4 linked regions of the Stegostoma tigrinum genome follow. The protein of the gene in region 4 purifies or fractionates together with the protein of the main gene of each other region. This does not show direct contact. Links are inferred from orthologs where the notes say so. Each region holds a gene or a part of one and is shown on either strand. Other genes may lie near its edges.

The links.
Region 1: the proteins of sin3b (region 4) and arid4b purify together in Homo sapiens (affinity purification with mass spectrometry; 3 studies listed by BioGRID and IntAct, with this or other methods). This does not show direct contact. The link is inferred for Stegostoma tigrinum from reciprocal best matches to the Homo sapiens genes SIN3B and ARID4B.
Region 2: the proteins of sin3b (region 4) and kdm5a purify together in Homo sapiens (affinity purification with mass spectrometry; 4 studies listed by BioGRID and IntAct, with this or other methods). This does not show direct contact. The link is inferred for Stegostoma tigrinum from reciprocal best matches to the Homo sapiens genes SIN3B and KDM5A.
Region 3: the proteins of sin3b (region 4) and gatad1 purify together in Homo sapiens (affinity purification with mass spectrometry; 5 studies listed by BioGRID and IntAct, with this or other methods). This does not show direct contact. The link is inferred for Stegostoma tigrinum from reciprocal best matches to the Homo sapiens genes SIN3B and GATAD1.

The regions. Positions count from the first base shown.
Region 1 is NC_081357.1:96,225,199-96,232,952, forward strand, and holds the start of arid4b (AT-rich interactive domain-containing protein 4B), read right to left. Parts: upstream 3,261-7,754; 5' UTR 2,894-3,260; intron 2,717-2,893; exon of another isoform or gene 2,593-2,716; intron 2,014-2,592; 5' UTR 1,957-2,013; coding exon 1,951-1,956; intron 1-1,950. UniProt on the Homo sapiens protein: Acts as a transcriptional repressor. May function in the assembly and/or enzymatic activity of the Sin3A corepressor complex or in mediating interactions between the complex and other regulatory complexes.
Region 2 is NC_081371.1:279,571-287,746, forward strand, and holds the start of kdm5a (lysine-specific demethylase 5A), read right to left. Parts: upstream 3,432-8,176; 5' UTR 3,183-3,431; coding exon 3,036-3,182; intron 1-3,035. UniProt on the Homo sapiens protein: Histone demethylase that specifically demethylates 'Lys-4' of histone H3, thereby playing a central role in histone code. Does not demethylate histone H3 'Lys-9', H3 'Lys-27', H3 'Lys-36', H3 'Lys-79' or H4 'Lys-20'.
Region 3 is NC_081355.1:108,518,442-108,526,584, forward strand, and holds the start of gatad1 (GATA zinc finger domain-containing protein 1), read right to left. Parts: upstream 3,579-8,143; 5' UTR 3,442-3,578; coding exon 3,232-3,441; intron 777-3,231; coding exon 651-776; intron 1-650. UniProt on the Homo sapiens protein: Component of some chromatin complex recruited to chromatin sites methylated 'Lys-4' of histone H3 (H3K4me), with a preference for trimethylated form (H3K4me3).
Region 4 is NC_081383.1:940,461-948,616, forward strand, and holds the start of sin3b (paired amphipathic helix protein Sin3b), read right to left. Parts: upstream 3,470-8,156; 5' UTR 3,372-3,469; intron 1-3,371.

The sequences.
Region 1 (7,754 bases), on a different chromosome or scaffold from region 4:
CATCATCCACACACAATAATGGCTTGCATTTATGTAGGGTCATGAAGCAATCTGAGGTGCTTCACCAGGACCACTGCCAAACAAAATGTGACACTGACTTCTAGTCACATATCTCATTTTTTTGACTACATGTTATTATTAACATAATGTTAAAAAGAACAGTGCAGAGATTATCAAAGGGAAACCCAAAAGCTCAGGACCTTAGCAGGTGAATGTAAAGCCAAAGAGGGGCCACAGCTTTTTCAATAAAAAATTGAGGGTGACCAGAGGGTTGGGGAACTGTTGGAGTTCACAATAATAAGGAAATCCAAGGCCATGCAGGGAGTTGTACACAAGAATGTACATTTCAAAAGCAAGATGTTGTTAGATTAAAAAGTGATGTACATGACTGCAACACAGGAATAAAGGATACACGAGACTCTGGCGCAAGCTGAGAAAACTACATTGCTACTGGTCTTTTTTTGCCCCAGCATGCTGAGGGTATTGAGATTAACAGAAATAAACAGGCTGTAACTCACTATTTGTTGTTGAAGGCAGCATTATTACAATCAGTTAACTCACCAACATGCCCAAAAAACATGGTATTTAGCAACATGAGGTTTGTAACATACACTGTTTTGAATTTGAGGTCAGAAAGTACCCAAAGCCCCATAAGGGTGTTTCAGAGTTTCATGTCAAAGTGTGTCTCAACAAAAGCACGTGAAGTGTACTTGCTGTTGTATGAAATTTGCAGCTAATTTACTCAGAGCAAATCTCACAAATATCTCGATAGCCAGATAACTGGTTTCTTGTACGTGAAATTCGGAGGTGAACACAAAACCTTCAGTACAGTACACTGACCTTCAAGCCGTTCTCACCCCCCTGTCAATTACAGACACCACTCTGGTTGGTCTGTAAGCCACTGCAGTTGTTTCAGTAAAGAGCAATGGACCCCTTCTTCTGGAGAAACCACGGTGGGAGTTTTATCCTCGCCAGAACATCGAATTTCTCGTACTGCATTTGTTTTTAAATGTATGAACATTATCTATTATTTATCCTTCACTGCTTCAGCCATGGACAATTTCTGCGGTAAATTCAATTCAAACCATCATGGATCAATCAACTTGCCTGGTGTATTGACCAGAATTTCCATAAGCCTGACTGGAGAGCTCGAATTTTAGGAAGGTGACACGAGGAATAACTGTTTTTGTCGCTTTACCGCACTGAGTAGAAGTAAACACAAACGCAACAGCCGACTTGACGATCTGATTTTAACAGGACACAATAGCCAAGAACTGCCATTTTTTGCGAAGCTCAGCTAAACCGAAACTAACCTCAAGTAATCGTTTTCAGAATTCAAGCCTCAACCGTTGGATCTGCTCCGGTTCGACTGCTCTTAAAATAAGTTAATTCGAGTAAATTCGAATTGTTCCGTACATGTACTTGGATCGATTGTGAAGCTTTACCTTTCCAAAAAAAACGTTTTGCTGTAGACAATAATATTACGAAGCCGTTTGAAACCAAGCTGTACAAGACTGCAGCTAAAACGCTAACGGTTCTAAACCCTACAAAAAAACCTAGACTAAACGTATCCTTTATTTCAGGGGGAAAAAAAAATCAAGTATTTAAAAACTCTGCGACACTACAAGGTTGCGAACACGAAACACACCGATCTTTGCAATCATTCCATCACAATTAGCAGAGGTTTAGAGAGGTGAGAAGTTAAAGTAATAAAACCGTGTCCACGATATCTTCTGGTCCAGCTGTATGTTGCCGCACCAAATAAGCAGTTTGTATTTGCTGTTGCTTTGTCATGCAGCATACTCCAACTACATGTACTACAGATCTGCAGCGGGGAAAAAATCCGCTGTAACAAGAAGGCGACTTTACTCGACACCCGAAAAGCCTTCATTAAACTGCAACACCGAGCGATTAAGCAATAAAAAACATTTAATTTTATTGTTTTATTACCTTCATGTTGATTCGAAATGTGTCAAATCGCCGACCGAAGCAAAAAAGTCAACCTCCACACACCTAAAGAGGGAAGAAAAGGGGACACACAAAAAAAATGCGTTTGAAAGTGATCGACGTCTCCTTTCAGTGTAGAGCCCCCTCCCCTTTATCATGAATGGCAGCCGAAGCAGTGCCAATACCATATCATCTTTTGCAAGAGGCGACACAATTTCCTTTTTTTCTAAACCTCCTCGCTTGCGTGCATTAATGCCACCCTCATTCGGCAAAAAGGAAAGGTAAATGAATGGCGGCGGATCGAACTGAAACGCTCAAGATCAAGAGGGGCTGTAACGAGCGGTTCAGGGCGATGGAACTGGTGGGTTTCTCCACCTCCTCTCCAAACAACATCTTTCTAGTTGTGTCAATGACGCCATTTCAGCCAGAGATCCCAAAGTTACACATGGACCGCACCGGATCGGTGCCGATAGGCTCAAACACTGCCCGCGAGAGACAGGGCTTGGTGGGAGGAGGTGAGGTGAAGGAGAAGGGGGCAAGGGGAAAAGAAAGCGGGAGAGAGGGGATCCTTCGCAGCGGCCACACGTACACAGCCGGTACACACGCCGAGGTCATGTTTTAAATAAGCAGCCAGGCGCTGTTCACCTCCTTTCTAGACTTCCCCGGCCGGTTTCCATCTCCCAGATACACTTGACACGTCCCGCAGAGAACAGCCAGAACTGCCGAGACACCAGGTCTCCCCCTTCCCTGGCTAAAACCGTTTGGCGGGGGCGGAGAGGGAGGGGGGTCAAAAGACTGAAGAGTGCGAGGTGGTTGGAGGCTCCTCTTTCACCCATCGAAAAGCCTGAGCGAATCCTCATTGTTTAAAATCCAACCAGGAGGGGTTGGGGGGGGGGGGGGGTGGTGCTGCTTAACTTAACCTCCCTTCTCCTTTACAGTCACTCACCCGTCCTGTGTGAAAGCTGCAAGGGCGAGGGGGGCAAAAAATAAGGAAGAAAGCCCTGCCAACCAAACCAGAGTGCGCCTCACAGTCCGGGGCCCCTCGCCCGATGTCCGCCCCGGCTTGACTTCTTCGGCATTCGAGCAACGCTCGACGGGGCGGCCGCTGACGAAAGGCTGAATGCCTCCCCTTCTCTATACACACACAGGCAGACAGAGACAGCGTCACCCTGACTAGAATGCCACAAACCCACCGTTAAATCGCCAGTCTAAAGAGAAAGACACAGATAGAAAGGTAGCGAAGGGGTTGGGGGGGGGGGGGGGGGAACTGAGAGAATGAGAGGAAAAAAACACTCCTCACACACATACAACATTCGACCCCACTCGGCAACAAACAACCCTTCCCATTGGCCCGCCGTCACACGGCAACCGCAGCACTAGCGCCTTCATTGGCCCTCCCTCCGCACTCGGTGCAGTTGTGGCGCCAGGGATGCTGGTTGATGTAGTCCTCAGCCCCGCCCACGTCATCGGGCACGCCAGCTCGGAGAACTACAACTCCCGGTAGGCGTGGTGACACCAGGTCCCGCCTAAAATGGGGGAGGGGGGGAAAAGAAAAACGACCGCATGCGCATTGCACCGAACGGGCGTCTTTAAAAGAGATAACTGCGCAAGCGCGTTGCTATTAGGATGGCGTATTTTTTGATGAGCTAAAGTAAAGGGGAATTGTCTAGGGTGAGTCCGCGCTGGCAGCGGCCGAACTCCAGGAAGGCGTCAGGCAACGGCACGACATTGGGTGCCCGCTACACCCCGTTAACGTTCTTCGGAGGAGCTAGTGCTATTTCGGCGGAATCACGACGTGAGTTTTGTTATTTTGTTTTTCGCGATCGCGAAGTAAATGGTAAAAGGTTGGTGGGGGGGAAATCGAGAGCGGAAGTGGGAGCGCTGTGAGCCGGATGAAGTCGGCGCCCTCCTGGCAGTTGGAGGTGGGTTTGGGTTTTCGAGCTGCGTCATCGCCGTTTCACAGTAAGTCTGTTTGTGTGGCATTGTCTGGTGTCTTTCATATCTTCTGGGCAACTCCAAACGCTTCATAGGCCACGATGTTCTACTGAAGGGTAGTCATTGTAATGTCGGCACTCGTATCGCCTAATTAAATATATAGTACTGCGAGGTCCCACAGTCAAATATGACCATAATCGGCTGGTCCAGCTGCCTTTTGTGGGCTTAGTATGGGACAAATTGGTGGGTGGATGGCACTTCGAAGTCGCCTGGTGGGCTGCCCCATGATGTTGTCCAACGTGATTTTCTTAAAGCTGTTTGCTGGTTTAATTTAGCTAACAGCTTAATGTTTTGTCCAACGATGCCTTCCCTCTGCACAGGTAGAGCTCTTCCTCAGTCCTGAGGGTGAGTTAGTCTATTTTTGTGTGTGATGTCTCTGGAATGGGGGTTCGAACTTGTGGCCTTTGTCCAGTCTTTTTATTGTTTTATCCAGTTAAATTGCTTTCAAGTTGACTGACTTCCAAGCATGACTTTTTGAGCCACTTGAACCCTTGGCTAATTTCATACTTTAAGAACATTTGTTATGAAGGGGAGCTCAAGCCCTGCTGATAATTAAAATTGAAATACAAGGTCCCCAATCTGTTATGGGGTGAGATTCCCTTCTGGTAATTAAACCTGAAACGCCCATAAAAACTGGCCCAATATCTAAAACTGTTAGAGAAGGACAGAGTAAATGAAAGAAAATTGCTGATATTCACTTAAGTAGCAAGTTAGAATCACGAGCAAGTTAGTGGAAAGTCCCACTAATATAAACCTGAGTAATTAGAAAGTAAGTTAAAACTTAAGTCTCTCGAAGTTTCCGTGCTTTCTTCTGGTCCCAAGTCTCTCACACCTTACTTCCACTGATCTGGTTGTCAGGGATGTTTGTTTAGTGAAGCTTTCTGAGAGGGCTCTTAGCTAGGAGTGGATAGATGGTACTTTGTTAGAGAGCTTAGCGATTTCTTTTGAGAGCCCAACGGTTATTTCTCAGATGCCAGTTCATTCTTGCACTGACTTTTCAAAAGCCCTCTTCTTGTATACCTGGGATGATCTATCAATCATCTCACAACAGCATTGGTCTGAAGTTGTCAAAACCATCAGATTTAAAATCAATTGGTTTTTAATTGCTAAGTGATTGCTTGAAATTAATTTGCTGATTCCAGCTGGCTGTCAGTACGTCAATACATCAAAACAAGCCTAAGGTTTCCAATCAATTGATACGTTTCAATTCCAGAATTAAGAGTGCCCCCTTCAGCTGCTTAGACAAATCTTTCGGTGTAAATCCCCAAGCTTAGAAAAACACTTTGTCTCTTGTAGGAGCCATGCACTTTTTGCCCTTATCATTTTTTATCAAACAAAATCTGGCTTCCTGCCTCATTCACGAATATGCAACACAACTTCATTACACGTTCCGTGTAGTTTTTCAATATAAAACATGTTTGTGTTAGAAATCTGATCTTTTGAATACAAGAACATCTGCTCCAGGCTGATCAGTGACCAAAATATTGGTTATTGTATGAACTGGAAAGTTAAGGGTCTATCACTAATTTTAGTGAGAAGGGGAAAGACAGTGAGTCATAACAAGGGCTTTTTCTTTGGATCAGCACGCATGATCTTTGATTTCCTTTACAGCAACACCAGAGTAAACAATGGAATGCTGTATTTTACAGGTTTCCAGTATATTGCTCCTGACTTTTTGTCTAAGACATGAAACCTTCAGAACACCAAAAAAACTTAGGAAAATTTAGTACTGTTTCTCGTATATGCGTACGTTATATTCTTTTTGCTTATAGCAGTGCATGTCATGATTCTGTACCAGCTGAGGATACTGCTTTGCAGGGTGGTCATTGTCTATTGACCTCTAGGAATGATGAACTTTGGTTGTTTTAGTTTATTTGTTGTTTTTTCAGTTTGGCAGACCATGCGGTATCCCTGTCCATATTGAGGATGGGTTGATATCACTGTTGAGTTCCTGCTCAATTCATTAGAGGATGGACTGCGGCTTCAGTGGAAATTAAAATGTGCATTATGTTTGCCATCAGTGTTTCTTTCAAATAAAGAAGCTTGTAAGATAGACAAGATATTTTCAGTCATAATGTAATATTTGTTTCTGAGACAATTAGAATGACTAATTTACATTTCATGTCATGTACTGTTAACCAGAATGGATTGCTTATTGAATGTGATCTTTGTTTTATGTAGACGGTGGGAGACTGTTGATGTCTTTGTAGAAACGTCAGTGTAGTTATTGGTACAAAAGTTCTTGGTGTCTCCTAAATTAGTGATTTGCTGGGTTCAAATAGCAAGGACTGTAACGTTTGCATTGAGATCTGACATTCTGGAAAGCCATTCTATTTTTGAGCTATCTCAATTTTTGGCAAGATGCTTTGTTCAGGGGTATGTTTGGCTCAGGTGTCACATTGTGCTCAATATGAAATTAGTGCTTGTAGTTGACTGCTTGAGAGTTCTTGCCAATTGTAAAGGTGTTCAGGCTCCCTGACTGGAATTAGTAGACCAACCAAAAAGAAAGACAAAATAAGGGCAGGTTTTGTTTGCTGCTTCCATAAAATAACAAAATGCTACACCCTCATGCTATTCTTTATCTGTCTTGTGTAGCAAATATGCCTTTTACATGTGGTGGAAAGTTTGATAATTAAACATGAGAATTAGTTGAATGAAATGAAATCCTCTGGAGAAACTCAGCAAGCCTCATTGCTTTCTCTACAGATACAGAGTTAATATTTCAGTTTCATTGAGCCTTCAGAACTTTGTGCCTGTATCTGACATGTTAACTTTGCTTTTTCTTCACAAGCTGTCAGACCTGCTCAGGTACTGCAGTTTCTATTTCTTCTGTTTTGAAGAAACTGGATTTGGATAACTGATATATGACACTGTTAATGCAAATTCTGGAAACTTCACTGGCACAGCCACCAAAATTTTGGCTTTAAGAATGCCAATGCTAAGTTGAATTTGCTGGTTCCAAGTATGAAGTGTTGAAAATTAATTTTGAGACTGTAACTGGTCTTATCCTAGAGCTGTCATCAAGATTTGCTCTGATTTTTAGAAGCTTCCAGTTGAGGCTGATAATTCAATTGCTTCTTGTTTGAGTTTCAAGATGGGTTTTCCTGCTGACATATTAGCTTCCCAAATTTCATGCCCACAGAATTCTAGACTTCAACAGTTTTGAAGCAATCTTTAAATATGTAGATAGAACACTAGTTTGAAGTTCATTCTATAGCTGTGTATTTTTTAAAATATCCAACACGTTGCAGGAAAAAGGCTATTGTATTCAACAATCTGCAGTGGTTCAAATCACCAGGCATCACTTCATCCTGGCCACAGAACATGATTTCTAAGTGGAGTCAATTAGAGTAAGCACCATGACAGAGCCTATTGCTATGTCTAAAGTATTACTGATTTCAACTTATTAGCTGGTACAACCCTGATCCAAGGACTTATGAACTCTGGACCTGACTACCCCAATGCATTCCTGCAATGCATTTTGTTGGTCTCAATTTTGAGCAGCTGGGGATTCAAATTCCTGTGGAATATCCTAATTCCAATCAAGTGCTCTTCACTTAACAGATGTTTGACCCAGAATGTCTCTTGTTGAAGACAAGCCTCTTGTTTTCAAATACCTCTCAAATGGTGTTGTCATTCCCTGATGTCTAAGCTCCTATGGTTCTACAAGTCTTAAGGATTTGTGCTTTTCTAGTTCTGGTCTGTTGCAATTTAAAATGGAAATTGTTTAGTAATGGCATGAGTTAGCTGCTTTGGGTTGAAGTTGTGGAATTTCTCAGTCTTTTCCTTTTTAGGTTTCAGGAATGACTTGA
Region 2 (8,176 bases), on a different chromosome or scaffold from region 4:
TGGTTAGGACAGAGGCCCTCAATGCCAAATCAACACCTGAAGCACTGCAACCCCAGCCAAAGGGTCAAGCACTAGAAAACAGAACTAGACTGAATGACTTCCTTTCCAGATTATATTCACCCACGTGATGAGTTCAGTCCCCAGACCAGTGGGATGCATTGCTTCACTCAAGGCATGAGCAGGTGAAAAATCAGCTGGGTCTGTTTTACATGGCTTCTTGCTTCAAGTTTCTGATCTACAAAGATAAATCCCAACATCCCACCCCATTTTATAGAGTGGATGAAAAATTAAGACAATAAAAACATTCCCTCAGCTTTACAGGAGGCAAAGTGCAAAAAGTAAAGACATTTAGTTACAAATCACAGGACAACTTGCCAAGGCTTCCTTCAATCCTGCAACTCCAACAGCAGGAAAGAACAGTGCACAAGTCCAATGCTACCAGTCAGTCTCTAAGACACATACTTGTGTCCTGTAAATACAACCAATCTATTTCTGGAACTCCCTGTCTTACAGCACAATACCCTCACCATATCTACTGCAACATTTCAACAAGCCAGCTGATCACCAAAGAAAGTTACAGATGTCAAACACTGAGTTAATAATGCAGACTTCAAGTGATAAAGTAAATAAATAAAGCAGGTCCCTATCATCAACAAATCAAGCCTTCTGCAGGGAAGGGGGGGGGGAAGGTTTAAATTCAATAAAATATCTGGAATTAAGAATCTAAATGATGATCATGAACCCATTGCCAATTGTCAGAAAAAACTAACAGGTTCACTTATGCCATCCTTTCCAGGTCTGGCCAACATGTGACTCCAGACCCACAGCAATGTGGTTGACTCAACTGCCCTTGGGCAATAAGTGCTGCCTGATTAGTGACACCCTCATCCAGTGACTAAATAAAATGAATCAAGGGTTTTTCCAGGAACATCACGAAGGACTTCAGTTTATGTAGAGAAATAAGAAGCTTTGTAGCCTTTGAAGCAGAGTTTAGGGGACAATTTAACTAGGGTGATAAAACTGAGGTTGCATAACAAAGGCTAAACTATTTCCATTTCAATGGCAGCAGTATCAGCAACCAAGATGCCAGGCTTAAAGAATCCCACGTAAGAACCAGTGGAAAGATTTTTTCTTACACCAAATGATGGTAAACTGGAAAGGACTGGTTCTTATTCAGGGGTAGCAGAAAGAAATAACTTTCTAAGACAACTGGATAAACATTAGAAACAGAACAATCAGGGTTAATGATAAAAAAGTGGAATTATTGGGGAGGTGGTAGCCTACTAGTAATATCATTGGGCTGTTAATCCAGAGACCCAGGTAATGTTCCACAGGATTGTTTCAGAGACAGTAGGAACAGCAGAATCCAAGATAACGTAGTTAACTCAGCCACATTAGGGGCATTTAAACAGTCCTTGGATCAGCATATGGATGACAATGGGCTAGTGTAGGGGATGGGCTTGGATTAGTTCACAGGTCAGCACAACACTTAGGGCTGAACGGCCTGTTCTGTGCTGTATTGTTCTATAGAAAGGTGTAGTGCTAGACGAGCACAGCAGGCCACGCAGCATCATAAATTCAGGAAAGCTGATGTTTCAGGCCTAGACACTACTTCAGAAGTGGGGAGGGGGGTTCTGAAATAACTAGGGAGGGGAGGAGGTGGATAGAAGAGAAGATAGGTGGAGAGGAGTCAGACAGGTCAGAGTGGTGGGAATGGAGCCAGTAAAAAAGTGAGTGTAGGTGCAGAGTTAGAGGGGAACTGGGTCAATCCCAGGAGGACAGACAGGTCAAGGGAGCAGGATGAGGTTAGCAGGTAGGAGACGGGGTGGGGGTGGACTCCCACAGCTACCTAGGATACACCTCCTCCCACCCACCTTCCTGCAAAAATGCCATCCCCTATTCCTTCTCTGCAGCAGCTGCTCCCAGGATGAGGCATTCTACTCCCAATCATCTCAGACATCCTCATTTCTCAAGGACCACTTGGGAACCCTGCAATCCAATGGTATCAACGTGGGCTTCACAAGCTTCAAAATCTCCCCTCCACCTACATTATCCCTGCCTCCCTAACTGTCCTTCCTCCCACCTCATATCCTCAGCCAACCCCCTCTGACCTGTGTCCTCCCTGGACTGAGGTGTGTCCTCCCTGGACTGAGGTATCTCCACCCAACCTACACTCACCTTTACTGGCTCCATCCCCACCATTTTGACTAGTGATTTTAGACTAGTCATCTTTCCACCTCTCTTCCTATTTATTTCAGGACCTCCTTCCCCTCTCTCCACCCACCACCCCCCCCCCCCCAACCATTTCCTCAAGGTTCTGGGGGACTGATTAAATCTCACCACAGAAGAAAGTGGAATTTGAAATTTAAAAAATCCAGAATTGCAAATCTAATTGTGACCACAAATCCATTGCAGATTGCCTGATAAACTCATCTCGTTCACTGACATCTTTTAGAGAAGGAAACTATCATCCAGACCCACAATAACGTGGCTGACTCTGATCACTGCTCAATAAAAGTGCTGATGAGAAACCTAAGTGAATAGCAGAAATAGCCAGATTTCCTCCGGGGGTGTTGGCAAAACTGTCAGCTTGAAGAGGTAGACTTGATTAATTTTGTTTAAAAATTGACTCGACCCACGGCTGAGAACTCAAACTCTAGGCAGACGCCCAACACCAGTTTCTCTCCAGATAGACTACACCCGTTCCTGAACCCGCTGCAATCAGGGTTTGATTCCCTGACAACAGAGTGTGAAGCTGGATGAACACAGCAGCCCAAGCAGCATCTCAGGAGCACAAAAGCTGACGTTTCGGGCCTAGACCCCTCGGGGGGGGGGGGGGGGGGGGGGGGTTGTTTTCCTTGTTGTCTGTGAAGAGGAGGCGGCCGCCATTAAGTTGGATCGCGGCCTCCTGGTTCCACATCACGGGGATCTGTCCTTCTACCCCGCCGACGGCCTCTTAAGTGGTTGCAGGCCGAGCGCAGCCCTCCCCCCGAGTTACTGTCGATGCGCGGTGGGAAGACAGGGTTTTTATTTACCTTGGGCGGGCGAATCTTGCAGATGCCGCTCCTCTGAGCGATGGGTCGGATCTTGTTGATGTACCCGAGCGGCTCCCGGAACTCTTCCCGGCTCGGCTCGAATACCGGGCACTCAGGAGGCGGGATGAACTCCGAGAATATCCACATGATGGCGGCAGCAGCGGCAGGCAATCTCCGAGACAAAGGGAGGCCGGGGCTCCGGGCTCCAACCCCGGAGTGGTCCCTCGGCGCCAGACCGCGGCCTGGGCCTTGGCGTCACCCAGGAACGCGGTGACTGCTGCAGCTCAGTGCGAGCCCGGCGCCCGCTGCAGCGACGGGAGCCTCTCACACACAGAGAGAGCAACCTAGGCCCAGTCCCTGAGGATGAGGGCGGGTGGGGGTGAAAGGTCAAAGCAAGCGCGCGACTGTCCTCAGGCGCGCGCACCACTTCCGCTCGCGGGTTGCGAAGCAAGATTTCACACACACTTGTTTTTACAGGGCTCATCGATCCGGTGATTGGCTGTCGCGGCAAAGCAGCTGCAGTATTATTGGATATGGCCCCGCCCCAACGCCCCCGATCAATTACTATTGGTTGTTATTACACGGTCCCACCTTCTGATTGGTTGAGGACCACAGCCTCAGATTCCGAGGACAGCAGGTCACAAGGTCCTCGGCTCCGGAATGAAAACAGAAAATGCTGTAGCTTGTGAGTAGAGAGAGAAACAATGAACAAACCCGAATCCAATCCCTTTTCTTTAGGACTTTACTTTCTGAAGTGTTTATCCAATTTCCTGTCGACAGTTGGTATATAATTTATTCGAACATCCATTCTTACAGCCCTTCGGATTATATATAAAACAGGGCAATCAGTTCCAGTCAAGGCTATCCTTCCCCCTTCAAGTGCTTGTCGAGCTTTCCGTACATCACATCCAATCATTCATTTTAATCTCTTCCCGCGGTACCAAAATCCACATTCTCACCACTTTCTGGATAAAGACTTTTCTGAACTGATGACTTAAATTGATGGTTCCCAGAGTTAACATTTCAAGTCCAGCGACCCTTCTTCAGAACTGTTTGAAGCTGGGAAAAGGTGTCATAAATGCTGAAGACGAAGGGAGGGAGGTGTGTCGGACAAGACTAAGGGCTCTGTCAACCATGGTGATTGGGAATTCTTGGTTAAGGGAAAATGTGAAAATTATGAGGTTCCTCTGCAGAACGTGACATCGTCAGAACAGCCGCAACAGAGTTGGAGAACAGGGCCCTTAGCCCTGTTTAACTCATTTCCAACTCTTCTGGCCTCACCTGTACTCTCTCCTCCCACTAAAAGGGTCTCCTTTCCTCACCCACCAGCGTCTGCAACCAAAGGATCGTAAGCCACCATTTCTGCTACCTCCAGTGGGATGCTACCACCAGACACATATTTGTCTCCTCTCTGTTGTCAGCATTTCACAGGAAATGTTCCCTCTGGGACACTTTGGTTCAGTTTCTATTCCCGACACCTTCCTGCACCCCCACATCTTCCCATACAATGACAGAAGGTACAACACTTGCCCGTTTACTTAGTCTCTCCTCACTATCCAAAGTTCCAGACACACGTTCCAGGTGAAGTAGTGATTTACATGCAATTTACCTAATCTAGTTGCCTGTATTCGCTGCTCACATTGTGGGGAGGTGAAACACAGACTGGGTAAGCACTTTACTGTCTGTAAAAATGACACCAAGCTTCCAGTTGCCTGCCACTTCAACACAGCACCTGTTCCCTGGTCAACATTTCTGTCTCAGGCTCACTGCAGTGTTCCAGCGAGTCTCAGCACAAGCTGGAAGAACAGCAAGTCATTTCCACTTGGGAACCCTGTAGTCTGCAGGAGTCAAATTCAAGAATTTTAGAACCCTGAACACCTCCTTCCAAACTCTTTAACCAATCACACCACAGCCTCTGTCATGACTACAGCTGGATTTCAGCACAGTCAATTAATTTCCCCCATTTGTGGTCCCTATTATCAGATTTTTCTCCTTCATCCATCCCTTTATCTGTCTAAATTTGTTTCTCTCCCTCTGGTCTCTGTCTCCACCTATCTGCTTACTGCCCCATCCCACGCTGTGTCTTCAGCATGTATACCACATTTCCTAGTTACTATCAGCTGTGAAGAAGGGTCACTGGACCCGAAATATTGGTTCTGTTTTCTCTCCACTCATGCTTCCAAAACTGAAATTTCTGCTTTTGTTTCAGATTTTCAGCTGTTCATGTTAATTTATCCATCCATTCTAATTTTATTTTCAGGCACTTGGACCATAGTATTGTACCTTTTTGACTGGGGAAATGATTTTGGTGATAATCCCTGCTGCACATACTTTCAAACAACTTGTTCACATATGTTACTACACATATCTGGAGCAGGTTCAACTTGAACCCAGGCCTTTTAGCCCAGAAGTAGTGACAGTACTACTGTACCACAAGGACCCCTATAAAGTCTTGATGAAGGGTCCCAAACCAAAATGTTGATGTTGCTGTATTAGATTAGATTCCCTACAGTGTGGAAACAGACCCTTCGGCCCAACAAGTCCACACCGCCCCTTGGAGAATCCCACCCAGACCCATTTCCCCCTATAACCCACACACCCGTGAACACTACAGGAAATTTAGCATGGCCGATCCACCTAGACTGCACATCTTTGGACTGGGAGGAAACTGGAGCACCTGGAGGAAACCCGCGCAGACACAGGGAGAATGTACAAACTCCACACAGACAGTCGCCCAAGGCTGGAATCGAACCCAGATCACTGGCGCTGTGAAGCTGCAGTACTAACCACTGAGCCACCGTGCTGCCCTATATCTGAATTGGCCAAGGCCAGGGTACAGCATGGAAAATATAGGCAAGATACAGTGTATGCTGTAAATCTTAAAAAAAAAGAGAGAATGTTGGATAAACTCAACAACTCTGACAGCATCTGTGGAGAAAACGAGAGAATTAACATTCTGAGTCTGGCATGACTTCTTCAGTACAACCGGTTCAAACCTGTGCTTCCCATAATATGATGACCAGAACTGCACATAGTACTCCAGCTGTTGCTGAAATAATATTAAATACAGTTTCAGTACACCTCCTTGCTCTTGTATTCATTAGTTTGGCTAATAAAGGCAAATATTCCATATGCCTTCTTCACCATCTTATCAACCTGCCCAGTTACCTTCAAGGATCAATGGACATCCACAGCAAGATAACTCTGATCCTCCGTACGTCCTATAATCCTACCATTCTCCATGCTTTGCTTTCCAAAATGCATCACCTCACACTTTTCTCGATTAAACTTAACTTGCCACAGTTCAGTCTATCTATATCATTCTGTTGTCTCAGTCTTTCTTCCTTGCTACTTACAACGTTCATCAATTTTCATGTCATCTACAAACATACTGATCATACCTTCTTTGTTCAGGCCTAGATCATTAATGTGCATGGTAGACAGCAAGGGACCCAGCACCAGACCCTGTGATATGCTACTGGACAAAGGTTTCCAGTCACAAAAATACCCTTCAACCAGTATTCTCTGCTTCCTGCCACTAAGCCAGTTTTGGATTCAAATTGCCAAATTCCCCTGGATCCCATGGGCTTGTAGATCGTTAACCGCTCTGACATGAGAGACCTTGCCAAAAGTTACTAAAGCCCATATGGGTAAAGGCAAAGTCACTATAGTCCCATAGGGCTGCTGTGTCTTTAGAGAGAGACAACTGGTGGTGAGTTTAATCTGAAGGTCATGACATTCTGGGAAGGGTGAGCTTGAAAAGAAATGATCTTCATGTTGACCTCAACCAATACAGGAATTGAACCTACATGATTAACGTTCCTGTGCATCACAAACTATGCCATCAACTGAACCCAACCAACTTCATGAAGTCCATGTAGACTGCAACATGGAATTATTTAGTACGTGAACAGGTCCTTCAGCCTATGATATTGTGCCCCATAAGACAACAAATTAAACTAATCCCTTCTGTCTACCTTTTGTCTGTATCCATCCATTTGTTGTTTATCTAAAAGTCCCTTAAATGCCCCTATCATATCTGCCTCAACCACCACACCGAGCAATGCATTCCAAACTTCCAACACACTTTGTGTAAAAAATGTGCCACTCATGTATCCTTTGAACTTCCCCCCTCACCTTAAACGCATGCCCCCTGTATTAGACATTTCAATTCTGGGAAAAAGATTCTGCTTGTCAACACTATCTATGCATCTCTTATTTATAGACTGCTATCAAGTCTCCCCTCAACCTCTGCCACTCCGGAGAAAACAACCCAAGTTTTTCCAGCCTCTCCTGATAACTCAGACCCTTTAATCGAGGCAGGATCCTGGTAAACCTCTTCTGCACCCTGTCCAAAGCCTCCACATCCTTCCTGTAATGTAGCAATCAGAATTGAATGCAATACTCTAAGTGTGGCTTAACCAAAGTATTATAAAGCTGCAATCAGAGATAATGGGAACTGCAGATGCTGGAGAATCCAAGATAACCAGTGTGAAGCTGGATGAACACAGCAGGCCAGGCAGCATCTCAGGAGCACAAAAGCTGACATTTTGGGCCTAGAGCCTTCATCGGAGAGGGTTCTGGAATAAATAGGGAGAGAGGGGGAGGCAGACTGAAGATGGAGAGAAAAGAAGATAGGTGGAGAGGAGAGAAGAGGTGGGGAGGTAGGGAGGGGATAGGACAGTCCAGGGAAGATGGACAGGTCAAGGAGGCGGGATGAGATTAGTAGGTAGGCAATGCAGGTGCGGCTTGAGGTGGGAGGAAGGAATAGGAGAGAGGAAGAACAGGTTAGGGAGGCGGGGACAAGCTGGGCTGGTTTTGGGATGCAGTGGGGGACGGGGAGATCTTGAATCTTATGAAGTCCACATTGATACCATTGGGCTGCAGGGTTCCCAAGCGGAATATGAGTTGCTGTTCCTGCAACCTTCGGGTGCCATCATTGTGGCAGTGCAGGAGGCCCATGATGGACATGTCGTCTGAGGAATGGGAGGGGGAGTAAAAATGGTTCGCGACTGGGAGGTGCAGTTGTTTATTGCAAACCGAGCGGAGCTGTTCTGAAAAGCGATCCCTAAGCATCGGCTTGGTTTCCCGAATGTAGAGGAAGCCACACCAGGTACAGTGGATACAGTATACCACATTGG
Region 3 (8,143 bases), on a different chromosome or scaffold from region 4:
AAATGGAAATATTACTCATAATAAAGCCATATTGATATTGCTACAATTTTTTTAGCATGCCTTCGTTAGAAGGTTTCATTGATTTAACAGGGAAATATGGCTTAACCCATTGCATCACGTCAAAGAATGACAAACAGTGGGCGAAATATACTCATAACAATAATACATTGCTAGAGTACGTAAAGGCCATAACTTGAGAATTCTCTGCCAAACACAGTTCCTGGGATGGCTCGTTACAGGGTCAAAAATTTAAATACACACTGCAAAGCAATCATTTCAGCAAGTTTTAGTAAAAAAAATTGTAATAAATCATAGAAAAATATATTGACAAAGTAGTCCTTCAAAAATATCCTGATCCTTTTAAGTTCTAAATTTAATAAGGGATCCATTACTTACCAGAATGCAAAAAAGATTCCCATCAGCAATTCAGGATGGAGATTTACTTTAAAGAACAAAAATAAGGCATCAACAATTAATGAGTCTGCTACACAAGAAAGATCATCTGAAAAACTGAAAATTTGAAAAATTATTTAATAGACAACACTATAATATAAGCTTAGGACCACTGTCTTACCAATTGAAGAAATGTTTTCTTCCCTTCCCCACCTAATCTTAAATATGCCGATGTTGTACTTTTTTAATAGACTTACGTTTTTTAATTTGAATATATGTCTACGCCCCTTTCCTTTTGTAGAAACTTTCTTTTCGGCAGGTGGCATGGACCTATATTTTGTGTTCCGTAACCTTGCAGACCGCCTATGAATTTCTTGCTTTGCCTGTCAAAACAGAAGAGAAAATAAACAAGGACAAACACAGTATCGGCAAAAAATTCATAGTTACTCCAAAATTATTTATGAACAAGGAACAGTATGCTGTCTATCTCCTTGAGCTTGCTCCTTTATTCAATAAGATCACAGGGGTTGAATTTTAATCTCAACTCCACAATCTTGCTTACTCCTGAATTCATTATGGAATAACATAACTTCAACAGAATAATGAACACAGTCCAGTACAATAAATTCATTCTCGAAGTAAAAAGAATACTTGCGGTCACGTAGCGAAAAAGGCATCTCTTAGCGTGAGATAACACGTGTGAAGCTGGACGAACACAGCCGGCCAAGAAGAAGGGTCCCGACCTGAAACTCCTCTGATGCTACTTGGCCTGCTGTGTTCATCCAGCTTCACACCGTGTCATCTCAGATTCTCCAGCATCGGCAGTTCCTACTATCTCTCTTCGTCTGAGTTTATCTGTAGTTATTCAGTGACAGCACGTCATTCGTCTCATTATGCTATTAATACTGAAGAAACACCGACATAGATCAAGTTTATTTTGCTGAAACCACTTCAATAATGGCCTTAGAAAATAAAATATCAAAATGCAGAGACAGTAGGAACTACAGGTTCTGCAGAATCTGAGATAACAAGGTATAAAGCTGGATGAACACAGCAGGCCAAGGGTCTAGGCCCAAAACGTTAGTTTGCCTGCTCCTCTGATGCTACTTGGCCTGCTGTGTTCATTCAGCCCTACACCTTGTTATATCAAAATACGAGATGGCTTTGAAAAGGAAACTAAATGGGGGCATCCATAGAAAGTAAATCTAAAACTATACAAGATATTAATCAGACCAGAGCTGGAACGCTGAATAGTTTTGGGACCCTTTCTGGGATTAACAGATCAGCCAAGATCTCAATGAATGCAGGAACAGACTCTATGGGCAGGACAAGTCATATTACCATAGGACAGAAATCTCTCAATGAGCTAAGCTCATAGAAGTTCCTATAACTTTCACTTCTAGTTGGTATTGAATCAATTCAACCAGAAAGTGGAATACTAAGACTACTCAAACCTGCTGGACTGGATGAAAAATGTATCCAGTTGTTTAGATTGGGAAATCCATGTATGGATGTTTGATAAGAGCCAATCAACCTCAATAATAGGTCTGATGAAAAGATACAAACCTGAAATATTAATCGTGTTTTACCTTCTGCAGATACTGCCAGGTCTACTAAAGTACTGCAAGCATTTTCTGTTTTTACATTGACTAAACAGCCAGTTAATGCTGACCATTAAGGCAGGAATTTCAACAGCATTTGAGGATCACATCTTTCATCCCTGTCCCCAGTTTCTCATAAAAGATAAATATTTCAGGTTCGATTAAGCTCTAACATGTCATTAAACATGATATTATATGTCTTCACACTCTGCTGTGCAAAGGCAAAAACAGTGACTGCCCAGTCCTGATATGACTCCCAGTCTCCCTCTTCTGAAGTTACCCCCACACCCTGGAGTCCATGGAAAAGGAACATGTGGTGTCCACTGAAACAGTCAAGGACTTCTATGGCTGTTGGAAAATGGAGGGGCTCCAATGTATTATTACTTTCTGAAAAGACAACTTAATTTGAGCTTTGAGATAGTAGGAACTGCAAATGCTGGAGAATCTGAGCTAACAAGGTGTAGAGCTGGATGAACACAACAGGCTTAGGCAGCATCAGAGGAGCAGGGAAGCTGATGTTTCAGGTCTGGAAGCTTTGTTAACTTACATTTTGAACCTCCAGTGCCCCTTTTAGGTTTATGAAAGCTTTAATCTGATTTAACCGCCATCTTGACAGAGGGAATGGACAGGGTGAAAAGTTAAGGTTTTACTCCACAGGGTAGGAAAGTCCAAAACTAGAGAGCATTGGTTTAAGATGAGAGGGGAAAGATATAAAAAGGACCTAAGGGGCAAATTTTTCACAATGAGGGTGGTGCAAAGACGGAACGAGCTGCCAGAGGAAGTGATGGAGGTTGGTACAATTACAACATTTAAAAGGCATCTGGACGGATCTGTGAGGGTTGAGAGGGATTATAGTATAAATTCGGACAAGTGGTACTAGATTTATTTAGGATATCTGCTCGGCATCTACGAGTTGGACCGAAGAGTCTGTTTCCGTGCTTTACAGCTCTGATTCTGTTTGATTTAACTGATGAAAGAAGTACTCCTAGTCTCAGGCTGGCGCCTCTTCCCCAGGTCATCCTCTACCCTGGACAGGAATTTGAAACAGCTCAGAGCGGCCTTCTCTTCAGGCTTCTCCCAGCCTCAGAGATAATGGGAACTGCAGATGCTGGAGAATTCCAAGATAATAAAATGTGAGGCTGGATGAACACAGCAGGCCAAGCAGCATCTCAGGAGCACAAAAGCTGACGTTTCGGGCCTAGACCCTTCATCAGAGAGACCCTTCTCCCAGCCTCACCTGTTTGCCGCCTCCGCCACTGCCGCCACCGTTGCTCTGCTGAGCAGCCGGAGCTGATCCGGACCCCGCGGTCAAGCCTGAAACGGAGACGGGTCCGGGGCTTTTGCCAGCGCAGTTGTTGCAGATGATCTCGCCCTGACTGCTCTTCCTCCACATGGCCGAAGAATTGGCCTTGCACACACTGCAGGACGGCTTCAGACCCAACGGCATGTTCTCCGCGTCTCCAGCAACAACCCACACAGACGCGGCCTCCCCTCCCCAGATACAACGGGATCGCCACCGCCCCACCTACTGGTGGGAGGACCGAGTGACCGTGACCGTGACCGCCACCGCCACCGCCCAGAGCCTTCGTACAGGAGGGAGGACCGAGTGCCGGCGCTCCCCTAGCGGCGGGAGGGCCATCTAACTGCGTCCCCCCGCCCCCGAGAGGGAGGAGGCGACCGGGACGCAGTGAAGAACTGGGAAACGCCGCCCCCTTGCCGCGAGAGGATTAAATTCGCATGGAAATGAATCATAGAATTGTTACCGCGCGGACCATTTGGCCCATTGTACCCGCACAGGCTCTTCAAAGTAACATCATTTACTTAGTGCCATCCGCCTGATTTTCGCACATAACCTTTGCAAAGTATTTCTATCCAAATAATCATCCAGTGACTTCTTGAATAGCTCATTCGAACCTACCTCCACCACAGTGGCAGGCGGTGCATTCCAAACCTGAATTTTGGATTGTTACATGTTATTTTTCCAACGTTACAATGATCACTATCTCCTAAATGATCTCCTACTGACACTTGATCCACCTCATTTCCAAGGAGAGTCTAACTCTTTACCAAGGACCAGGTACAACAAAACTCACTCTTTCTTGTTGGACCCAACATTTATCTCCTAAACATGTTGAAAGGGGGGGGGGGCAGATTTTTCTTTAATTACCCAACTCTATGCTAGGAATCTGAAGTCCCTCATAAAAACAACTCATAGAATGGTGGTAATAAAGTGTGGAGCTGGATGAACACAGCAGGCCAAGCAGCATCTTAGGAGCACAAAAGCTGACGTTTCGGGCCTAGACCCTTCATCAGAAAAGGGGGATGGGGAGAGGGTTCTAAAATAAATAGGGAGGTAGGGGGAGGCGGATCGAAGATGGATAGAGGAGAAGATAGGTGGAGAGGAGACAGACAAGTTAAAGGGACAGGGATGGAGCCAGTAGAAGTGAGTATAGGTGGGGAGGGGTTAGGTCAGGTCAGGGAGGATGGACAGGTCAAGGGGGTGCGATGAGTTTAGTAGGTAGGAAATGGGGGTGCGGCTTGAAGTGGGAGCAAAAGATAGGTGAGAGGAAGAACAGGTTAGGGAGGCAGGGACGAGCTGGGCTGGTTTTGTTAGGCAGTTGCGGGGAGGGGAGATTTTGAAGCTTATGAAGTCCACATTGATACCATTGGGCTGCAGGGTTCCCAAGCAGAATATGAGTTGCTGATCCTGCAACCGTCGGGTGACATCATTGTGCCAATACAGGAGGCCCAGGATGGACGTGTCGTCTAAGGAATGGGAGGGGGAGTTGAAATGGTTTGCGACTGGGAGGTGCAGTTGTTTGTTGTGAGCCAAGCGTAGATGTTCTGCAAAACGATTGCCAAACCTCCACATGGTTTCCCCAATGTAGAGGGAGCCATAACGGGTACAGCGGATGCAGTATACCACATTGGCAGATGCGCAGGCTGCACAAGGGATCCAGGGAGAGCTAGCTAATTGTACACAGAATTGGATTAAGAGTAGGAGACAGAGATTGGCAGTAGAGGTAACACAGTGTGGAGCTGGAGGAACACAGCAGGCCAGGCAGCGTCAGAGGAGCAGGAAAGCTGATGTTTTGGGTTAGGATCCTTAGGGGCAGCACGGTGGCTCAGTGGTCGGCACTACAGCCTCACAGCACCAGGGGCCCGGGTTTGATTCCAGCTTCAGGTAACTATGTGTGCGGAGTTTGCACATTCTCCCCGTGTCTGCGTGGGTTTCTTCTGGGTGCTCCGGTTTCCTCCTACAGTCCACAGATGTGCAGGCTAGGTGGATTGGTCATGCTAAATTGCCTGTAGTATTCAGGGGTGCGTGGATTATAGGGGGATAGGTCTGGGTGGGATGTCGCAAGGGGCAGTGTGGACTTGTTGAGCGGAAGGGCCTGTTTCCACACTGTAGGGAATCTATTCTTCAGAAATTCAAAACATCAGCTTTCCTGCTCCCTTGATGCTGCCAGGCCTACTGTGTTCCTCCAGCTCCACACTATTATCTCTGATTCCAGTATCAGCAATTCTCATTATTTCTTGGCAGTAGAGGGTGTTTTTCAGACTGGAGGCCTATGACCAGTGTGCCACAAGCAGTGATGCTGGGTCCACTGTTGTTTGTCATTTGTATTGATGATTTGGAGGGGAATACAACAGGCATAGTTAGTAAATTTGCAGATGACACCAAAATTGGTGGTACAGCAGACAACAAAGATGATTATCCAACAGTACAATGGAACCTTGATCAACTGGGTCAGTGGGCTGAGTTGTCGCAGAAGGAGTTTAATGCAGATAAATGTGAATTGTTGCATTTTGCTCAGTGTTGTTGAACAGAGAGACCAAGGGGTACAGATACATTGTTCCTTGAAGGTGGCATTACAGGTGAACAGGATGATGATGAAGGCAGCATTTTGCACACTTGCCTTCATTGGTCAGAGGACTGAGCGCAGGGATCGGCCGTCATGTCACAACTATAATTCTGGTCGTCCCAGAAAAGGGTGTAGAAAAGATCTACAAGGATGTTGTTTAAACTGAAGGGTTAGAGTTGCAAGGAAAGGCTGGGATTTCTTTTCCTGAAGAGTGGGAGGCTGTGGGGGTGACTTTATAGAGGTTTATAAAATTATGATGGGAATAAATAAAGTGAACAGCCAAAGTCTTTTACCGAGGGTAGGCAAGTTGAAAACTGCAGGGCATAAGTTTAAGGTGAGGGGGGAAAACAAATTTAAAAGGGATCAGAAGGACAACTGTTTCCACACAGATGGTGGTACACATATGGAACGAACTGCCAGAGGAAATGGTAGAGACAGATACAATTACAACATTTAAAAGACATTTGGACAAGTACATGGTTAAGAAAGGCTTAGAGGGATATAGGCCAAACTTTGGCAGATAGGACTAATTCAATTTAGGAAACCTGATCAGCAAGGACGAGATAGGCTGAAGGGCCTGTATCCATGCTGAATACCTCTGATTCCTATTTGTGTACTCATTTGTACGTAACACTGGGTCGAGGTTTATTTGGACTGTTTATTTTGAGGGGAGAGCGATAGAGGTTTTCAAAATCACGAGGGATCTAGACAGAATAGCCACTGAGAAACTGTTCCATGTTGATTACAGGACTGAGAACCAGATGGCACGGATTTTAAGAGATAATGGGGACTGCAGATGCTGGAGAATTCAAAGATAATAAAATGTGAGGCTGGATGAACACAGCAGGCCAAGCAGCATCTCAGGAGCACAAAAGCTGACGTCTCTGATGAAGGGTCTAGGCCCGAAACGTCAGCTTTTGTGCTCCTGAGATGCTGCTTGGCCTGCTGTGTTCATCCAGCCTCACATTGGCACGGATTTTAAACTGGTTTCCAAAAGCAGCAAATATGAGATGAGAAAACGTTTTCAATAGGTAGTTGGTCTGGTCTAGAATGAATTGCATGGAAGCATGGTAGATGTGGGTTCAATGGAGGCATTCAAGAGAACATTGAATTGGAAACAATAATCATCCAATATTCAGGGTAACAGGGAACAGGCAGGTATTTAGCAATGCTTAGAGAGCTGTTGCAGTCACAATGGATTGAGTGGCTTTCTTCTTCACCCTAACATTTCTGTCACAGTCCTGTGGAAGGATCACCGCACCTGAAATGTTAACTCTGTTTTTTCCTTCACCGATGCTGCCAGACCTGCTGAGCTTTTCCAGTAACTTTGTTTTTATTTCTGTCACCGTGTCATGCATTATTCTCTCATCATTTCTCTGTAGCTGCTGAAATGGTGTATCACCTCTCCTTACTACTACAGTTTCATCATCCACAGTGTTGTGCTTTAGTGTTAATTACAATCTGTTCTGCATAAAGTTTATGCTTTAGTGGCATTTGAGTTTTAAATGTTTTGACACTTCATGGTGTTGCAGGATACTGCTACTCAATCTTCCTCAGATAATTTCAAACTGTTACAATGCAAACAGCTCTCAAAAGAACACATCCGCTATCAGGAATTCACCTGGTGTTCCTCAAACAAACTGTTGGTAATACTCATAATTCAGAAAGCATCAATGCGTAATGACAGAGCAATGTTTCAGGTTGACTATCTTTTCTACTGATCTGAACTGTTAACTCAGTTTATCGCTCCAAAGATGCTGCTTGACCTGCTGGAGTATTTTCTAGTACCTAGTTTATGTTTTATATTCCAACCATTTCCACGTTCAGATTTCATATTAATAGTCTACAATACATCTAGCAATTGTCTCAGTGCTCTTGGTGGGAACAGTGTGTACAAATTGGCTGCAGGTTCCTCCAATAAAACTATGATTACATATCAAAAGTACTCAGATGTACATCTTACCTCCCTTCTTCCAAGTTTCATCATACTTTGTTTTGCAATTTCTTTGCCATTTTTATATCTCCCCTTTCATTTCTTTATTAAATTGGGAAAATTGCCACGTTAGGAAATGTGGAATGAAGCAAGGTAAGAGGGAGGAACAGACTGAGAAGAGAAAGTACATTGCAATAGAAGTTAAGAACATCCAAAAGTAGATTGATTATCTGTCTTGACTCCTTTCCCAAACCCCTAATTTCCTCAGCATCCAAAATTCTATTTATTTCAGCCTCAAGTATTCTTTAAGTTTGAACAACCACAGCCACAGATAGACAATTCTAAAGATC
Region 4 (8,156 bases):
GTTGATCAGTGGCCATTTACTGATGACAAAGTGCCTTCTGCCTGCCAACAAATGTGATTGGTTCTCAGGTTGGTGAACAGATTAGGACTTTGAACAAGATGTGAAAAGCCATCAGACCTCCAATAACTCAAGACTTCTCTGTGCACGCTGAAGAAGCCACTGTAAGCTTGAGGAAAGCCATATTATCTTTCCTTCAGAAATTGCTCCAAGTGGTGATGTTTAATTAATGTATCAGGACCTTTTTCACGTATGAACCTGTCACCCTGTCCTCCTGTAAACCAGTGGAAGCATCTGGAGAAGAATGATCCAAAAGCAACATTCTGATCAGCACAATAATCATTCTTAGCCGATCAGAATGTTGCTTCTAGATCATTCTTCTCCAGATTCCTTTCCCTGTTTCCCTGCATCCTTAAAACCCATGTTTTTTCCCAGGTGGGTCTAAGGGGGAGTTTATAAAGGGGTTAAAGTTTTAACTAGAAGAGTCACATGCTGACTGCTCACAACTGTTTACCTGCACCTACAGTCTGTTAATTTGTAATTGTTTTTTATTCACTCACAGGATGTGGACATCACTCGCCAGCATTTACTGCCCATCCCTAATTGCCCAGAGGGCAGTTAAGAGTCAACCACATTGCTGTGGGTCTGGAGTCACGTGTAGGCCAGACCAGGTAAGGACAGCACATTCCATTCCCGAAGGGCATTAGCAAACCAGAGGGTTTTTCCTGACAATCGAGAATGGATTAATGGTCATCATTAGACCCTTAATTCCAGATTTTTAATTCAATTCAAATTCCACCATCTACCATGACAGGATACAAACCTTGGTTCACAGATCATTGCCAAGTTTCTTGATTAATACTCTAGCAGTAATACCATATGCCTTTGCATCCCCTAATAAAGTAATAAAGCAAAGTAATTACTTATGGAGTAGAGTAGAGTAGTGGAGTAATACAGCATGGAAACAGCCCCTTCTGCCCAAACTGGTCCATGGTGCCCACTCAGTCCCAATTGCCCACATTTGGTCCCTATCCCGCTAAACCCTTCCCATCCAAGTACCTATCCAAATGTTGTCTTCCATATTCGCACCACTCTCTGCGAGAAGAGGTTGCCCCTCAGGACCTTCCTAACTCTTTTCCCTCTCACCTTAAACCTATACCCTCTAGTTTTCAATTCCCCGTCCCTGGGAAAAACACTTCAATCCAACCCAAATAAAGTAATTCTTGTTAAGCACAGGAACCTGGTCCTGTGCTTTCTGCAGACCTGAGTCAATTAGTCATGTAGATCGGATAATTCTGCTTACTTTCAAAGTCTGTAACATTTATGACAATTCCAGGAATAGCAAGGCTTGACTTCAAATATGCTAACCAGATGCAACGTAAGAGAGGCAGCCTCACAGGGTAAATACTGAGACAATATTTCCTCTTGAGAGTGGCACAGTGGTGAGCACTGTGGCCTCACAGCACCAGGGACTTGGGTTTAACACCACCCTCAGCCAACAGCCTGTGTGGAGTTTGCATGTTCTCCCTGTGTCTGGGTGAGTTTTCTCCAGGTGCTCCATTTTCCTCCCAGAGTCAAAAGATATGTAGGTTAGGTGGATTAGCCAATGGGAAAATGCAGGGTTACAAAGGTATTGGTGGCGGTGGGACTGAGAGGGATGTTGTTTGGCATGTTGGTGAAGTCGATAGGTCGAATGGCCTGCTTCCACACAGTAGGGAGTCTACGGGGGAAAATGTGGGAACAGAGTTTCAAAGTAAGGCATTTTCCAGTTATGTTATACTGGGTCATTACATTTTTGAATTCTCTCATCCACAAAGAGTGGAGCCTGGCTGATTCAATCTATTCAAGGTTGAGTTTGATTTTTGTTTGATCAGGATGTTAAGGTTTGTGTAAAGTAGAATCGAGGCCACAAGGGAATGTGATGGCCCAATGGTATTATCACTGTACTGTTAATCTAGAGACCCGGATAACTTTCTGGGATCCAGAGTTCAAATCCCAGCACAGCATCATTCACCCACATCATAACTGGGAGATCAAACAGGCCACTGTGAAATTTAATAAATAGATAGATCATCAATGATTTGCATGGAAGCCATCAAATTGTATAAAAAATTAACTTCATCTGTCAAACAAGAAACATTTCTGAAAAAACATTCTCAAAAATCATATTTGAAACCAAATTGAAGGCACAGTGTCAGACACAGGCAAAGTCTCCAGGAGATTCATCACTGGACACCAGGTGGACTCCACTAACAACAAGCACAAAAAAAACAGGGAAATCAAATCATAGCAAATTACAGCAAATTCACATACATTCATATGTACCACAAGCTTTTTTCATAACTTAAAATGAAATTCATCCAGATGAGACTCCACCAACAAAAATTGGCCCACCCATTGGGTGAAATGGTCAGATCTTAACAAACGCACCTCAGAAACAGATCTCCAAACTTGGTTATTTAGTCATAGTTGATACATTTCAAATATCTTCATTTCAAAATATATTACACTTACTGAGAAGCTGACTGGTGTGGACTGTTGGGCTTAAAATTTATTCTCCTTGATGAACAATCAGAATAGACACTGATAAAAGACTTGGTAAATACTAAGACTGTATATTTCTGACAGCTAATAATTTTCTGATGCATAGTTCAAAATATTGCCAACTACTACCTTTTAATACAAACAGAAATACATTATGTTCCTTTGCACTCAATGGAGATTTAGTGCTTGTGATGATGCAAACAAATTTTTCACTGCAATCCAACAAATATAACTTTCTCATTATCCCGCGAAGGAAATTTAATCCAGCAGTTTCTTAAATAACATGAATCAAATGAGTAAGAAGGACCCTGACATGAAGGGGAGGAGATGGGTGGGCAGTGGGAGATGCGAGGGTGGGGGGTGTGGGGGGGCAGGAGATGCGAGGGTGGGGGTGTGGGGGGGGGAGGAGATGCGAGGGTGGGGGTGTGGGGGGGGGGAGGAGATGCGAGGGTGGGGGTGTGGGGGGGGGGAGGAGATGCGAGGGTGGGGGTGTGGGGGGGGGGAGGAGATGCGAGGGTGGGGGTGTGGGGGGAGGGGGTGTGGGGTGTGGGGGGAGGAGATGGGGGGATCGGAGATGGAGGGGTGTAGATGGGAGGGTGGGGGGAGAGATGGAGAAAGGTGAAGGGGAGGGGGAGGATGGGTGGGGGGGGTGGGTGGGGATAGGGGATGGGGGGATGGAGGGAGGGGGGAGGAGGATGGGGGGGATCGATGGGGGGGCGGAGGATGGGGGGCGGGGGATGGGGGGCGGAGGATGGGGGGGAGATCGTTGATCGTCATATCAAGCTGCCCCTCATTCCCCCACCATGTCCCCCCCCCCCAACCCCACTCACCCGCGGCTCCAGCCCGGGCTCCGCGCTTCCTCTCGGTTCCGGCTCCGCGCCCCCAGCGGCACCCCGTTTCCGGTCCGTCCGTGAAACCCATCCCTGGGACTGTGCCAGCCCGTAACCAATCAGACCACGGTGCCTCCCAGAGAAGGTCCGGGGCAGCCGCTTTGGACGCTGCCCGAAGGTTCCGGGCCGAGACCGCGCGCCCTCAATGCTGGGGGTGTGCACCAGGAGCCGGGCTTAGCCCTTCCCTCCACCGGCTTCAGAACCAAACGCAGGCCGATGCTGTAAATATTGCATTGCAGGGGGAGGTGTTTGATGAAACAGTTGAAGATGGTTAGAAAAAACAATTTAACAGATTTAATAACTTCCAAAGCGGCTTCAGGAACAAAATTAAATGAAGATATGAACCAAAAACAAGAAATTAGGAAGATGGGGGTAACTCTGCCTCAGAGCTAGCCCACACTGGGCGGGCTGAATGCCCAGTGCTGTCGTGTTTCATGATTCTTCCAACAAACACCAAACCATTCCCAGTTTAAAGCGGATGTGGAAGATGTTTGATGAAGTAATCCCTCAGAATGCTCCAGGTCTCACTCCAGCCTTCCTGAGCCTGACTGTCCCGGGGGAGAACGTCCACAGAAACCCTTTAAGGCAAAACTTTCTCACATTAATATTCATTTGGTGATGGATCTGAGCGGGGACATTATCTCCTGTAACCGCCCCCAAGCAGAGGGAGTGAAGCTGCCTCATGAATTCAGGAAAGGGACTGTCAGGAGGTGATGTGGATGAACGGATTTGTTCTGGTCACCCCGGATTCCCATTTATCAGGAAACCGCTGACATTGTGGTGGCAACATCAGAAATCTACTTCTGGTCATCTCACTCAGGTTAGCAAAACCTCTTATATGAGTGGGCTGAATGGTTATCTACTTTGTGATACTAGGAATCAGCACACAACTCTGAGCAACCATGTCAGATTTTTTTAAAAAAATCAAATTGGTGTAATTTTAAAAAAGCAAAGTTTATGTTTAATTCCCTGAGCTGCTGTTGGCCGTACTAAATCTGTTACAATCCCATAACACCCCAGTAGAATGTTCACTGAGATTAAACCTGGGTGTGAATTCAACTCTGTAGCAGGTAAGGCTGGGCCACGCAAGGAGTATTACAGCCGGTCTGAAGTAGGAACACATGCTTCTGATTCCTGTACAGTGTCCCATCCTGGGAAGTCACTGTTAAAAGAATGATATCTGGACTGCTCCTGAGATGCTGCTTGGCCTGCTGTGTTCATCCAGCTTCACACTTTGTTATCTTGGACTTCAGGAGTTGTATTATGATGACAGACTATACCATGTAAGGCCTGATCAAAGTCTTCACTATGTTAACAGAAAAAGACAGGGTAGGTAAAGATAAACTATTTCTATTGACTAAGATTTGAGAAGTAGGGGCATAGACCATTAAGAAGAGACATTAGGAAGTACTTCTACACACAAAGGGTAGGAGGGGTTTGGAACTCACTTTCACAAATGTCACTTGCTGCTGGATCAGTTGTTACTTTTAAATCTTATGCTTAACAAAAAAGTTAGTTAAGAATTAAATAACATGGGCCAAACCAACCAGGATCTCATTGAAAGGAGTGAGTGAGTGAGTGAGTGAGTGACACACACTGAGTATAATCCATATGCCAATGAGAAGCTGTGGTGTGGCAGCTGATTTACTGGATTAATCCATTAAACTGGGGAACAGGGGTTCAAATCCCACCAGGGTGAATGGTGAAATATGAATTCAATAAAATTTGAAATAAAAGCTGGCCTAATGGTGACCATGCAACCATTGTTGATTGATGTAAAAACCCACCTGGTTGATGAATGTCCTTTAGAGAAGGATCTTAAGTGGTCTTGCCCACACAACTCCAGACCCACAGCAAAGTGGCTGACTCCTACCTGTCCTCTGAAAGGGCCTGGGAAGACGCTGTTGTGTATCTAAATAAAGGAATATAACTGGAAAGACCAGCCTCCACCAACCAAGGCACTAGAAACAAAGTAAAACGCTTCCTTATGAACCCAACAGAGTCTTGTCCCTTGGATATGTCCTGTCCTGCCAGGAGAGGGGGAAGCAGTGGTATATAGTTGAAAGGGAGTCACCCTGGAAGTGCTCAGCATGGACTCTGGACAGACCGAAGTCTCAGGGCATCAGGTTAAACATGGGCAAGGAAACCTCCTGCCGATTACCATGTATCATTCTCCCTAAGCTAATGAATCAGTACTCCTCCATGTTGGTGGTTAACACCTAGAGGAAACACTGAGTATGGCAAGTGCCCAAAATGTACTCTGGGTGGGGGATTTCAATGCCCACCATGAACAGTGGCTCAGCAGCAGTAAGCCTGATCGGGCTGGTCAGGTCCTATAGGACATAGCTGCTAGACTGGGCCTGCAGCAGGTGGTGAGGGAATCAAAAAAGAAAAACAGACTAACAGACTTGACCTCATCCTGACCAAGCTGCTGGTTGCAGATGCACTGGCCCATGACAGCATCAGTAAGAGTGACCACTGCACAGTTCTTGTGGGCATGAAGTCCCACCCTCACTCTCTATCATGTTGTATGGCACTATAACCAGACTAAATGACTTCAACAGATCTAACAACTCAAGACTGGTCATCCATGGAGGCCATCAGCAGCAGCATTGTACTCTAGCACAATCTGCAACCTCCTAGCACTCGTATCACCCATTCAACCATTACGATCAAGCCAGAACTGCACACACTATTCCAGCTATGGCCTACAGTTGTATATAGCTCCATCTTAACTTCCTCATTTTTATACCCTATGCCTTGAAAAATAAAAGGCAAGTATCCCAAAAGCCTTTTAACCACTATTCACTTGTCCTGTTGCCTCCAATCATTTATGGTCCCCCTGATTCTGGATGTAAGTTTGCTCGCTGAGCTGGAAAGTTCGTTTTCAGACGTTTTGTCACCATTCTAGGTAACCTCATCAGTGAGCCTCCAGTGAAGCGCTGGTGTTATGTCCCGCTTTCTATTTATCGGTTTAGGTTTCCTTGGGTTGGTGATGTCATTTCCTGCGTTGGTGATGTAATTTCCTGTTCTTTTTCTCAGAGGGTGGTAGATTGGCTCCAAGCCAATGTGTTTGTTGATGGAGTTCCGGTTGGAATGCCATGCTTCTAGGAATTCTCGTGCATGTCTCTGTTTGGCTTGTCCTAGGATGGATGTGTTGTCCCAATCAAAGTGGTGTCCTTCCTCATCTGTATATAAGGATACGAGTGATAGTGGGTCATGTCGTTTTGTGGCTGAATCCCCGGATTCCATAATTCCTTGGGTCCTACCATTCATCATATACTCCTTTACTTTATAAGTCCTTCAAATTTTCAGAATTAAATTCTATTTGCCATTGTCCCGCCCATCTGACTACTGTCCTATAACCAGAGGCTCTCCTCTTTGCTATTTACCACATCATTAAACTTTAGTGTAGTGTAAACTTACTGGTAAAACGTACAATCAATGATAAGGACATGAATAATCTAGGATTCACACAAGTAGACGAGGAACAGCAAGGAACCCAGGCTTTCAGTCACAAGAGACTTTTACCGTCATCTTCTGTTTCCTGTCACTGAACCAATATTTTGAATCTAATTTGCTAAAATTGGCCTGGATTCAATGGACTTTTACTTTTATGCCCAGTCTGCTATTTAGAGTATATCCAATGCACTACATTGAAATTTTTTTCAAGAGGTGACAAGCTGAATCAATCAAATTTGACAATTTCCCCTCTGACAAAGCCACGATATGCCTGATTAATTCTTTCCCCATCCAAATGGAGATAGAATTCTATCCTCAGAAATTTCTCCCAACTGATGTCAGACTCACTGGCCTATCCCTACCATGGCAGTTATTTACCAATCCCCAGCACCTCTCCTGTATCTAAACTTTTAAAATTGACATCAATGCTCCTACAATTTCCTCGCTTGCCTCCCACACTGATTGTTTGAATGTGACATCAAGAAGCTCTAAGCAAAAGTATAATTAATAGGAACTGGGGAAAATCTTTTTGCTGGTTGAAGTCATACTTGGAAGATGGCTGTGGCTAGAGGTCAGACATCTCAGCTCCAGAATATCTCTGCAGAGTTCCTCAGGGTAGTGTCATAGGCTCAGCCATCTTCAGCTGCTTCAATGACCCTCCGTCCATCGGAAGGAAGGTCAGGAGTGGGGGATGTTTCCACAATGTCCAGCAGCAGTCACAACTCTTCAAATTCAGAAACAGGCCTCGACAATATCCTGGCATAGTGCCACAGAAAGATCTTCTCCAATAAAAAGGTAATCTAACAATCACCCCTTGACATTCAATGATGTTACCATCACTGATGCTACTATCAACAGCCTGAGGGTTACCTTTGACCAGAAACTGAACTAGGTTAGCTATTTAAACTAGTGACTTTCAGAAAGCATAAGAGGTTAAGCAACCTATAAAGTGTAACTCATGCCCTGACTCCCCAAAGCAGGTCCACCATCTGCAAGGCACAAGGCAGGAGTGCGGTGGAATGCTCCCCACTTGATGGATGGGTGCAGCTTAACAACACTCAAAGCTCAATACCATCCAGGACAAAGCAGGTCCCACTTGACTGGCAATCTACCACCTTCAATGTTCACTCCATTCACCACTAACGCACAGTGGCAGCAGTGTATGCTATCTACAAGATACATCACAGTAACTCATCCAACAGGACCTTCCACACAATCACCACCATCAAGGGCAGCAGATAATTGGGAATATGGTAAGATCCC